Macaca fascicularis: one gene and its partners. The protein of the gene in region 2 purifies or fractionates together with the protein of the main gene of each other region. This does not show direct contact. Links are inferred from orthologs where the notes say so. Each region holds a gene or a part of one and is shown on either strand. Other genes may lie near its edges. The genes, in order: DHX9, DDX5 and RBMX.

Region 1 (3,659 bases), on a different chromosome or scaffold from region 2:
GGTAGCACTTGGTGACTTTAAGAACAATAAGATACCTAAGTGTGCCTGAAGCTCATCGTTGCAGACATTTTTTGTTATCAGTATCTTACCATAGATTTCTGATACAAAGCAGTGACGAATTCAGGAAAAGACAATGTGGGAGGCACAGAAATTGGGGGAGCCAGGACAGCATTGCTCTTTGTATGTCCTTTTATTTAAAGGCATAACAGACAGCAACACCAGAGGTCTGTGTTCATACACACATGTGCTGCTGCTTAGGCTGAACTAAGCAATCACATGGGAAACTATTGTAAACTGATTTCTGGTGTCGCTGTTCCCCCTAGGTGGAGGAGAATGAGATTGAGTGCTGACTTTAAGCCTGGCTGAGAAACATACTGGCATCGATGTCATTAATGAAAGGGTGGATGTTGTTCCCCTGAAAGCCAGTGGCCTTTGACCCCTGAAGCCGCTGTGCCTGAAGGTCAGTTCACACGAGGTATAGGAAGGAGTCTTAACATTTATTTTTTTCTTAAGCCTCACCCAGCCTTTTATTCACACCACCAAGTCTAGGTTAGAATGTATCTGAGCAGTGAAGGGACCAGAATGCATAGTTTTCAAAGGGCAGTTTTTCCCTTACTAAAACCTAAATTCATTTTTTAGACTCTGCTAGCAGTTTTAGATGTAATGTTACAACATGTGTTTTATTCTCCAGGACCTGATTTAAATAAATGTGATAAAAATAGGCTAAGTTTTTTGTCATCCAGGGCTGCTTCCAACTGCAGGCAGATGTGAGAACTCTGCCTCAGGAGCCATTGATTATGCACAAAGTGTATGTGCATGTGTGTTTGCGTATATTAGCTTAATAGATCGCAGTCATTACTGAGTGGCCTATGCAAAGGAATCTTACAATAATTATAACTGTAATGTAAAACATTTGGGGCCTGCTTTATTTCTTGGCTCCAAGCTAAGTGGAAAATTCCTTTTCATGGAATGTGTTGTAGCTCTTGAGACTCCAGCCTTTGGAATAAGAGTAAGTAAATATAAAATCTAATACCCTAACGTTTTCCTTTCATGAACAATTGGCTCATCAACTTTGATTATAGTTGTGTTATGCCATGTTGTATATTATATGAAGTTTATATACTTCATTTGTTCTAGGGTTGGGCAGAAATAAATGTTGGTAATTTTTTTTTTTTTCTGTGATTTGCCTAAGCAGTTGGAAAGCCTGCCTGACTTGGGAGACCTGGATTTGCCAGTTTCTAACAGTGAAATTTCTAACCTTGCTTGTATATGTTGTTACAGGAGCTTTATTGCAGAAATGACCATTTATATCAAGCAGCTGGGCAGAAGTAAGTGTTACTGTTACCCAATATTCCAAGTCTTTGTATAGAGAAGGAATCTTCACATTTAAGTCTTGAAATACAGAAGCTGTATTATTGAAAGAGCACGTGATATAAGATAGCATCTAGGGTATATATTAGAATATTAGTAATTATAAAGTAGAGGCAAAGTCTCCCAGTTTGCATGTGAAAACAGACCGTGTTAGTGTAGTATTTCAAAAGTAAGACACAGTGAGATGATTAGGAATCTGCCAGCGTCAAAGAATTTTAAACTTTTTTTTTTTTTTGAAATGGAGTCTTGCTCTGTCGCCCAGGCTAGAGTGCAGTGGCGTGATCTCGGTTCACTGCAAGCTCCGCCTCCCGGGTTCACCCCATTCTCCTGCCTCAGCCTCCCCAGTAGCTGGTACTACAGGCGCCAGTCACCACGCCCAGCTAATTATTTTGTATTTTTTAGTAGGGACAGGGTTTCGTCATGTTAGCCAGATGGTCTCGATCTCCTGACCTTGTGATCCGCCCGCCTCAGCCTCCCAAAGTGCTGGGATTACAGGGGTGAGCCACTGCGCCTGGCCTTAAAACATTTTTTCATTTTTATATATAAAATGAGTTATTTTGAGTGGATGGGTAATACTAAGGGAGAGAGGATAAAGGCGGGCTAACTTATGTCAGCTCACTTATCAAGGTTAATTTGGCTAGTTAGGCAGAAAGATATCTTTGTACCCCTTTGCTTTATATTCATCTCTCCTAAAGCTGAATGATACTGGAGGAGAGGAAACTTTCTATTAATATTTTCTTTAAGGATATGAGTAACTTAGCTTTAGTTTAATGCTGAAGTCAGCAAACTATATCCCTCTGGCCAAATCCAACTTACTGCCTGTTTTTATAAGAACTGTTTTATTGTGTAACATAGCTACACTCATATTTTAGACTTCACAGGTCACACGTTGTTATTTTCGTTTTATTTTTACAAATCCTGAAAACCGTAAAGCCATTCCCAGGCCTGTGGTTTGTCAAACTCTATTGTCAGTAAGTGCTTTCACACATTAAAGGCAGAGTTGAGTAGTTGTGACAAGAGACTCTATGGCCTGCAAAGCCTAAAATATTTATTATTTGACCCTTTATGGAAAAAGTTTCCCAAATCCTGGTCTAGTTAACCACTCTGGACCCAATTACTTTTACTGGTTTATTTTTTACTCTTTGTCTTTTCAAACTATGTTTTCTTCCCCTTTTTTAATGCCCGATGATCTTAACAGTGACAACTTTGTTGAAATAGATTATTTGCTTTCATAATATTGATTTGTATGAGTCCTAGTATCAGCCCGTAACCAAAACAGTTGGTTATTTAGTTGCTAAGCTGTTGGGCAATTTCTTTTGTTTAGCTAGAACCCATGGCATACACTGTATTTGAGAGCTTCTTGTGTACGTAAACCCATAGTTTCTTGTGATGTTTCTTCACTTAGGTGATTTCTTTCTGGTAATCCTGACCTTACATTACAGGGATTTTTGCACGAGAACATGGATCAAATAAGAAACTGGCAGCACAGTCCTGTGCCCTGTCACTTGTCAGACAACTCTACCATCTTGGAGTGGTTGAAGCTTACTCTGGACTTACAAAGAAGAAGGAAGGAGAGACAGTGAGTCTTTAGATTTAATAGACTTGTGAGATAGTGTAGGATTCAATTTAGCTCTTGTTTAGTATTTGGCTAAAGAAGTTTAATTTCAAGGAATCTTACCTCAGGGAATGAAAATGGTCCTGCTAATCATCTCTGTGTCTGGCATAATGTTCATAATAGGCAGTGAGTAAATAACCATTGAAGTAGTTCTTGCACTAAAGGGAACTGACTGTTGGTTTAGGAATATTGTAGACTTAGTATTGACTGTATAGTCTTAGCCCCATTGTAGTAGATTTGAGTAGTGTTGTTATGTGTGATCCTTTTTCCGTAGGTGGAGCCTTACAAAGTAAACCTCTCTCAAGATTTAGAGCATCAACTGCAAAACATCATTCAAGAGCTAAACCTTGAGATTTTGCCCCCGGTAAGCATAAAGCTATTTAGTTCACATTTGTGTAAAACACTCAGTAGACAAGCAAGTCATATTTTTTTTTTCTTATTTTTTAATAGCCTGAAGATCCTTCTGTGCCAGTTGCACTCAACATTGGCAAATTGGCTCAATTTGAACCATCTCAGCGACAAAACCAAGTGGGTGTGGTTCCTTGGTCACCTCCACAATCCAACTGGAATCCTTGGACTAGTAGCAACATTGATGAGGGGCCTCTGGCTTTTGTGAGTGTAATATTGTTTTTGAGATGAGACTCTTGTGTTTTACTCTTGACTATACTTCATT
Region 2 (2,527 bases):
CCCAAATAGTATTTGCTTCCTGCCATTGTCCACATCAATCATCAGCCATTCCTAGAGAGAGGCGATGGGCCCATTGTAAGTATATATTTTTAACTTTTTATTAGAAGTGTAATATATAGATTTTTAGACTACATAGCAAAAGATGTAATTATTTGTGGTGGTTTTATACAGAGGTTAGCTCACCCTATTCAGCTGGAGTTGCTTTGGGTATTGGACAACACATGAAGAAAGGATCTGCCATCATAACTAATAAGTTAATAGTTTAAAACTAGTATCCAGGTTTGTGCTGAAAGCTGTTTCTCTTTCCTTAGTGTTTGGTGCTGGCACCAACTCGGGAACTGGCCCAACAGGTGCAGCAAGTAGCTGCTGAATATTGTAGAGCATGTCGCTTGAAGTCTACTTGTATCTATGGTGGTGCTCCCAAGGGACCACAAATACGTGATTTGGAGAGAGGTCTGTAATGAAGAGAGTTTTATTTGTTATTGGTGCTAAATATTTTAGGTATTATAGTTACACTTACGTGTTTAATTAAAGGTGTGGAAATCTGTATTGCAACTCCTGGAAGACTGATTGACTTTTTAGAGTGTGGGAAAACCAATCTGAGAAGAACAACCTATCTTGTCCTTGATGAAGCAGACAGAATGCTTGATATGGGTTTTGAACCCCAAATAAGGAAGATTGTGGATCAAATAAGAGTAAGTGTCCTTTGAAATATGTGATCAAATTCAATTCTATTTTCACTTTTAGTCTGACACTAATTTTTCCCCCCAAAATCCATTAGCCTGATAGGCAAACTCTAATGTGGAGTGCGACTTGGCCAAAAGAAGTAAGACAGCTTGCTGAAGATTTCTTGAAAGACTATATCCATATAAACATTGGTGCACTTGAACTGAGTGCAAACCACAACATTCTTCAGATTGTGGATGTGTGTCATGACGTAGAAAAGGATGAAAAGTAAGTTTTATTAACTCTGTTATATTCGCTTCCTAACCTTGCTAAAATTGAGGGATCATTGTTATTTCAGTTGGTGTGATTTCGTTTAGTTAGCCTATTAATCCTTCTGAAAATATCTTGAATTCTTCAAATAATGATTATCACCGTTTATAGTTTTCCTATAGAAGGAATTCATGTGTCCCCTGGTTGACTTAAGGACCAAGGGTCGAACTACTACATAAGTGGGTTAGCAGGTGTTTCCTCTTTGACTTCCAGCCATGTAAATTGAACTTAATGTTTTGCTGACCATAAATGTGGGGCCCTACCAATGGTCTTTTAAAACTCAGGATTTTTCCTTTCTCTCTCCCATTATTAGACTTATTCGTTTAATGGAAGAGATCATGAGTGAGAAGGAGAATAAAACCATTGTTTTTGTGGAAACCAAAAGAAGATGTGATGAGCTTACCAGAAAAATGAGGAGAGATGGGTATGTGTGGGCTCCTCCATTGAAGCAGATTTTTTTGTAACTGAGCTTAGGAAAGGGCAAACTTGGATCAGGAGCAGTGGATATCTGATAATATAAGTGAATTTAATTCTTTTTAATTTCTGGTGAAATTAAAGAGATCTGTGACAAGACGTGGTTAAGCACTGGAGTCTGAGGTTTTCAATGTGAGTTTTATGATACAACTTGTCTTTTAGGTGGCCTGCCATGGGTATCCATGGTGACAAGAGTCAACAAGAGCGTGACTGGGTTCTAAATGGTAAATATTTCAAATGAAGTTTTTTTCCCCCCTTACTTAGCTAGAATTCTGCTCAGATAATTGATCATGTATATGCCTTCCTTTGTAGAATTCAAACATGGAAAAGCTCCTATTCTGATTGCTACAGATGTGGCCTCCAGAGGGCTAGGTTAGTACAAACTCGCATTCATGGCTTGGTTTCCCAGAAGATCTCCATTTAACTTTTTTAAAGAAAGTTTATTGCTTTCTTTAACCTCTGCATTTTTTCTAAGTTTTTTTCACATAAAGGTGCTGTCTTTGTGGCAAGGCCTAGGCATGACAATCGGAGGACTCGAGGGGGATGGAGGACTAGTGATCGGCTGGCTGCTTCCAGTCGATTAGAGAGGTGAAAAAGCTGAACGTGTGCCAGTAATCTTCAAAAGGCAGAACATATCACCTCTGCCCCGTAAACTGTTCTCTCCGAGGGAAAAAATGGAAGTTATCCTCACAGTTCACTGCCGTGGTATTTCTTCTGTCCCATGCTTTGCATGACTGCCATGGTACAGCCTTGTTTCAAACTGTTCACTGTGATCTGTGGGTCTTTGAGTTTCAGTGAGTTTGCTGAAATGTCGAAGAAATATTTCCAAACTTCAATGTTCAATGAAATTTTTGTTCAAGTTTGAAATGGAGAGAGCAGCTTTAAAAGGTACTAAGCCTTTTACAAATTGGTGAGTACTGGCACATGAGATCTAGAGCAGGAGCAACTTCTCACACATAGTCAGTGGGAAAAGAAAGTGCTTTGAAAGTTCCTCCCTCACCTACACAGTAGTCGTCATGTCGAGACCTGCCAGAGAGAGACACATTCTCAAGTGAAT
Region 3 (2,698 bases), on a different chromosome or scaffold from region 2:
TCTTGTCCAAGTAGTTTACTCTGTAGGAAAGGCATTTAAAAATTGATAAGCCAAGGTGTTGGACATGAAAATGAAATCATTTTTCTTTTATTTATTTATTTATTTTTTTTGAGATGGAGTCTTGCTCTTTCACCTAGGCTGGAGTGCAGTGGCGGGATCTCAGCTTACTGCAAGCTCCACCTCCCGGGTTTACGCCATTCTCCTGCCTCAGCCTCCTGAGTAGCTGGGACCACAGGCGCCCGCCACCTTGCCCGGCCAGTTTTTTGTATTTTTTAGTAGAAACGGGGTTCCACCGTGTTAGTCTCGATCTCCTGACCTCGTGATCCACCCGCCTCAGCCTCAGCCTCCCAAAGTGCTGGGATTACAGGCTTGAGCCACTGCGCCCAGCCCATTTTTATTTTTTAAAGTTAGCTGGGCATGGTGGTGGGCGCTTATAATCCCAGCTACTCAGGAGGCTGAGGCAGAAGAATCACTTGAACTCGGGAGGCGGAGGTTGCAGTGAGCCGAGATCGTGTCACTGTACTCTCCAGCCTGGGGGAACAGAGTGAGACTCCTCAAAAAAAAAAAAAGTTTAAGACTACCTTCAGTTCTTACTTCCCCAGTCTATATAACTGCACTGCATGTTCCATCAAGTACAAGTGAAACTAGACTAGCCAAATTAATAATGGTCATTTTTGTTCGTTCGTTTGTTTTTGGGAGACAGAGTTTAGCTCTTGTTGCGCAGGCTGGAGTGCAGTGGCACGATCTTGGCTCACAGCAGCCTCTGCCTCCCAGGTTTAAGTGATTGTCCTGCCTCCGCCTCCCGAGTAGCTGGGATTACAGGCATGCACCACCACACCTGGATTTTTGTATTTTTAGTAGAGACAGGATTTCACCATGTTACGCTGGTCTTGAACTCCTGGTCTCAGGTGATCTGCCTGCCTCGGCTGCTCAAAGTGCTGGGATTACAGGCCTGAGCCATTGTGCCCGGCCTAATGGTCATATTCTTCATGAAGCAAAGGAAATTTTGTAGTGGCCGAGTTTGGTGGTTCACGCCTGCAATCCCAGCACTTTGGGAGGCCGAGGCAGGAGGATCACAAGGTCAAGTTCGAGACCAGCCTGGCCAGCATGGTGAAATCCTGTATCTGCTAAAAAAAAAAAAATACAAATTACTTGGGCATGGTGGCGCACACCTGTAATCCCAGCTACTCGGGAGGCTAAGGCAGGAGAATTGCTTGAACCCAGGAGGCGGAGGTTACAGTGAGCTGAGATCCCGCCACTGCACTCCAGCCTGGGCGAGAGAGCGAGACTCCGTATCAAAAAAAAACTCTCATATCTTTCTTGATTCTTGTGAGTAGTAATATTTTTCTTTTCTATTCTTGATGTAGATGACGGTGGATATTCCATGAATTTTAACATGAGTTCTTCCAGGGGACCACTCCCAGTAAAAAGAGGACCACCACCAAGAAGTGGGGGTCCTCCTCCCAAGAGATCTGCACCTTCAGGACCAGTTCGCAGTAGCAGTGGAATGGGAGGGAGAGGTAAATGTTCCATGTATGACAATCTGTGCTACTACTGTAACAAAGAATTGAGAGGTAAATGATGCTTAAAAGTTTAATTGGCTGGGCGTGGTGTCTCATGCCTGTAATCCTAGCATTTTGGGAGGCCAAGGCAAGAGATTAGGACTATCCTGGCCAACGTGGTGAAACCCTGTCTCTACTAAAAAAATACAAAAATTAGCTGGGCATAGGGTGGGTGCCTGTAATCCCCGCTACTTGGGAGGCTGAGGCGGGAGAATTGCTGGAACCTGGGAGGCGGAGGTTGCAGGGAACCGAGATGATGCCACTGCACTCCAGCCTGGCAACAGAGAGACTCCGTCTCAAAACACACACACGCACGCGCACGCACACACCCCCCTAGCTTTATTCGTGGAGTCTGGGCGCGGTGGCTCACACCTGTAATGTTGGCACTTTGGTAGGCTGAGGTGGGCGGATCACGAGGCCCGGAGTTTGACGCTAGTCTGGCCAACATGGTGAAACTCTGTTTCTACTAAAAATACAAAAATTAGCCGGGCACGGTGGCGGGTGCCTGTAATCCCAGGTACTCTGGAGACTGAGGCGGGAGAATCACTCGAACCCAGAAGGCGGAGGTTGCAGTGAGCCGAGATCACAGGACTGCACTCCAGCCTGGGTGACAGAGCGAGACTCCATCTCAAAAAAAAAAAAAAAAAAACTTTTGGTCATGTGTTGTAGGTGATTTAGATAAATGGAATTAGCACTGAAAAAAATTTAAAATGTGAATCGGAAATTCTAGAAAAAATGAGATCTAGCCTCCGTAATGTCATCTTTGAAGTCAGTCTCGTTTTCATAGCCTGAATGTAAGTTCACGTTTTAACTTCTTTCTCTGACTGTGTTTAAAAAAAGTGATGTAATTTTCCTTAAGCTCCTGTATCACGTGGAAGAGATAGTTACGGAGGTCCACCTCGAAGGGAGCCACTGCCCTCTCGTAGAGATGTTTATTTGTCCCCAAGAGATGATGGGTATTCTACTAAAGACAGGTAATAGAAAATTGCAGCTTTTTAAATTAATAATTAAGGTTGAAGGAAAGCTTATCAAAAGCATGAACCAAAACTTTTGTGTTTGTAGCTATTCAAGCAGAGATTACCCAAGTTCTCGTGATACTAGAGATTATGCACCACCACCACGAGATTATACTTACC

Evidence for each region.
Region 1: the proteins of DDX5 (region 2) and DHX9 fractionate together in Homo sapiens (co-fractionation; 3 studies listed by BioGRID and IntAct, with this or other methods). This does not show direct contact. The link is inferred for Macaca fascicularis from reciprocal best matches to the Homo sapiens genes DDX5 and DHX9.
Region 3: the proteins of DDX5 (region 2) and RBMX fractionate together in Homo sapiens (co-fractionation; 3 studies listed by BioGRID and IntAct, with this or other methods). This does not show direct contact. The link is inferred for Macaca fascicularis from reciprocal best matches to the Homo sapiens genes DDX5 and RBMX.

What each region holds. Positions count from the first base shown.
Region 1 is NC_088375.1:40,389,848-40,393,506, forward strand, and holds part of DHX9 (ATP-dependent RNA helicase A), read left to right. Parts: intron 1-1,281; coding exon 1,282-1,328; intron 1,329-2,813; coding exon 2,814-2,950; intron 2,951-3,260; coding exon 3,261-3,350; intron 3,351-3,436; coding exon 3,437-3,598; intron 3,599-3,659. UniProt on the Homo sapiens protein: Multifunctional ATP-dependent nucleic acid helicase that unwinds DNA and RNA in a 3' to 5' direction and that plays important roles in many processes, such as DNA replication, transcriptional activation, post-transcriptional RNA regulation, mRNA translation and RNA-mediated gene silencing.
Region 2 is NC_088390.1:71,093,532-71,096,058, reverse strand, and holds part of DDX5 (probable ATP-dependent RNA helicase DDX5), read left to right. Parts: intron 1-9; coding exon 10-75; intron 76-311; coding exon 312-453; intron 454-534; coding exon 535-695; intron 696-781; coding exon 782-954; intron 955-1,309; coding exon 1,310-1,420; intron 1,421-1,632; coding exon 1,633-1,694; intron 1,695-1,782; coding exon 1,783-1,842; intron 1,843-2,527. UniProt on the Homo sapiens protein: Involved in the alternative regulation of pre-mRNA splicing; its RNA helicase activity is necessary for increasing tau exon 10 inclusion and occurs in a RBM4-dependent manner. Binds to the tau pre-mRNA in the stem-loop region downstream of exon 10.
Region 3 is NC_088395.1:143,026,726-143,029,423, reverse strand, and holds part of RBMX (RNA-binding motif protein, X chromosome), read left to right. Parts: intron 1-1,367; coding exon 1,368-1,520; intron 1,521-2,421; coding exon 2,422-2,536; intron 2,537-2,624; coding exon 2,625-2,698.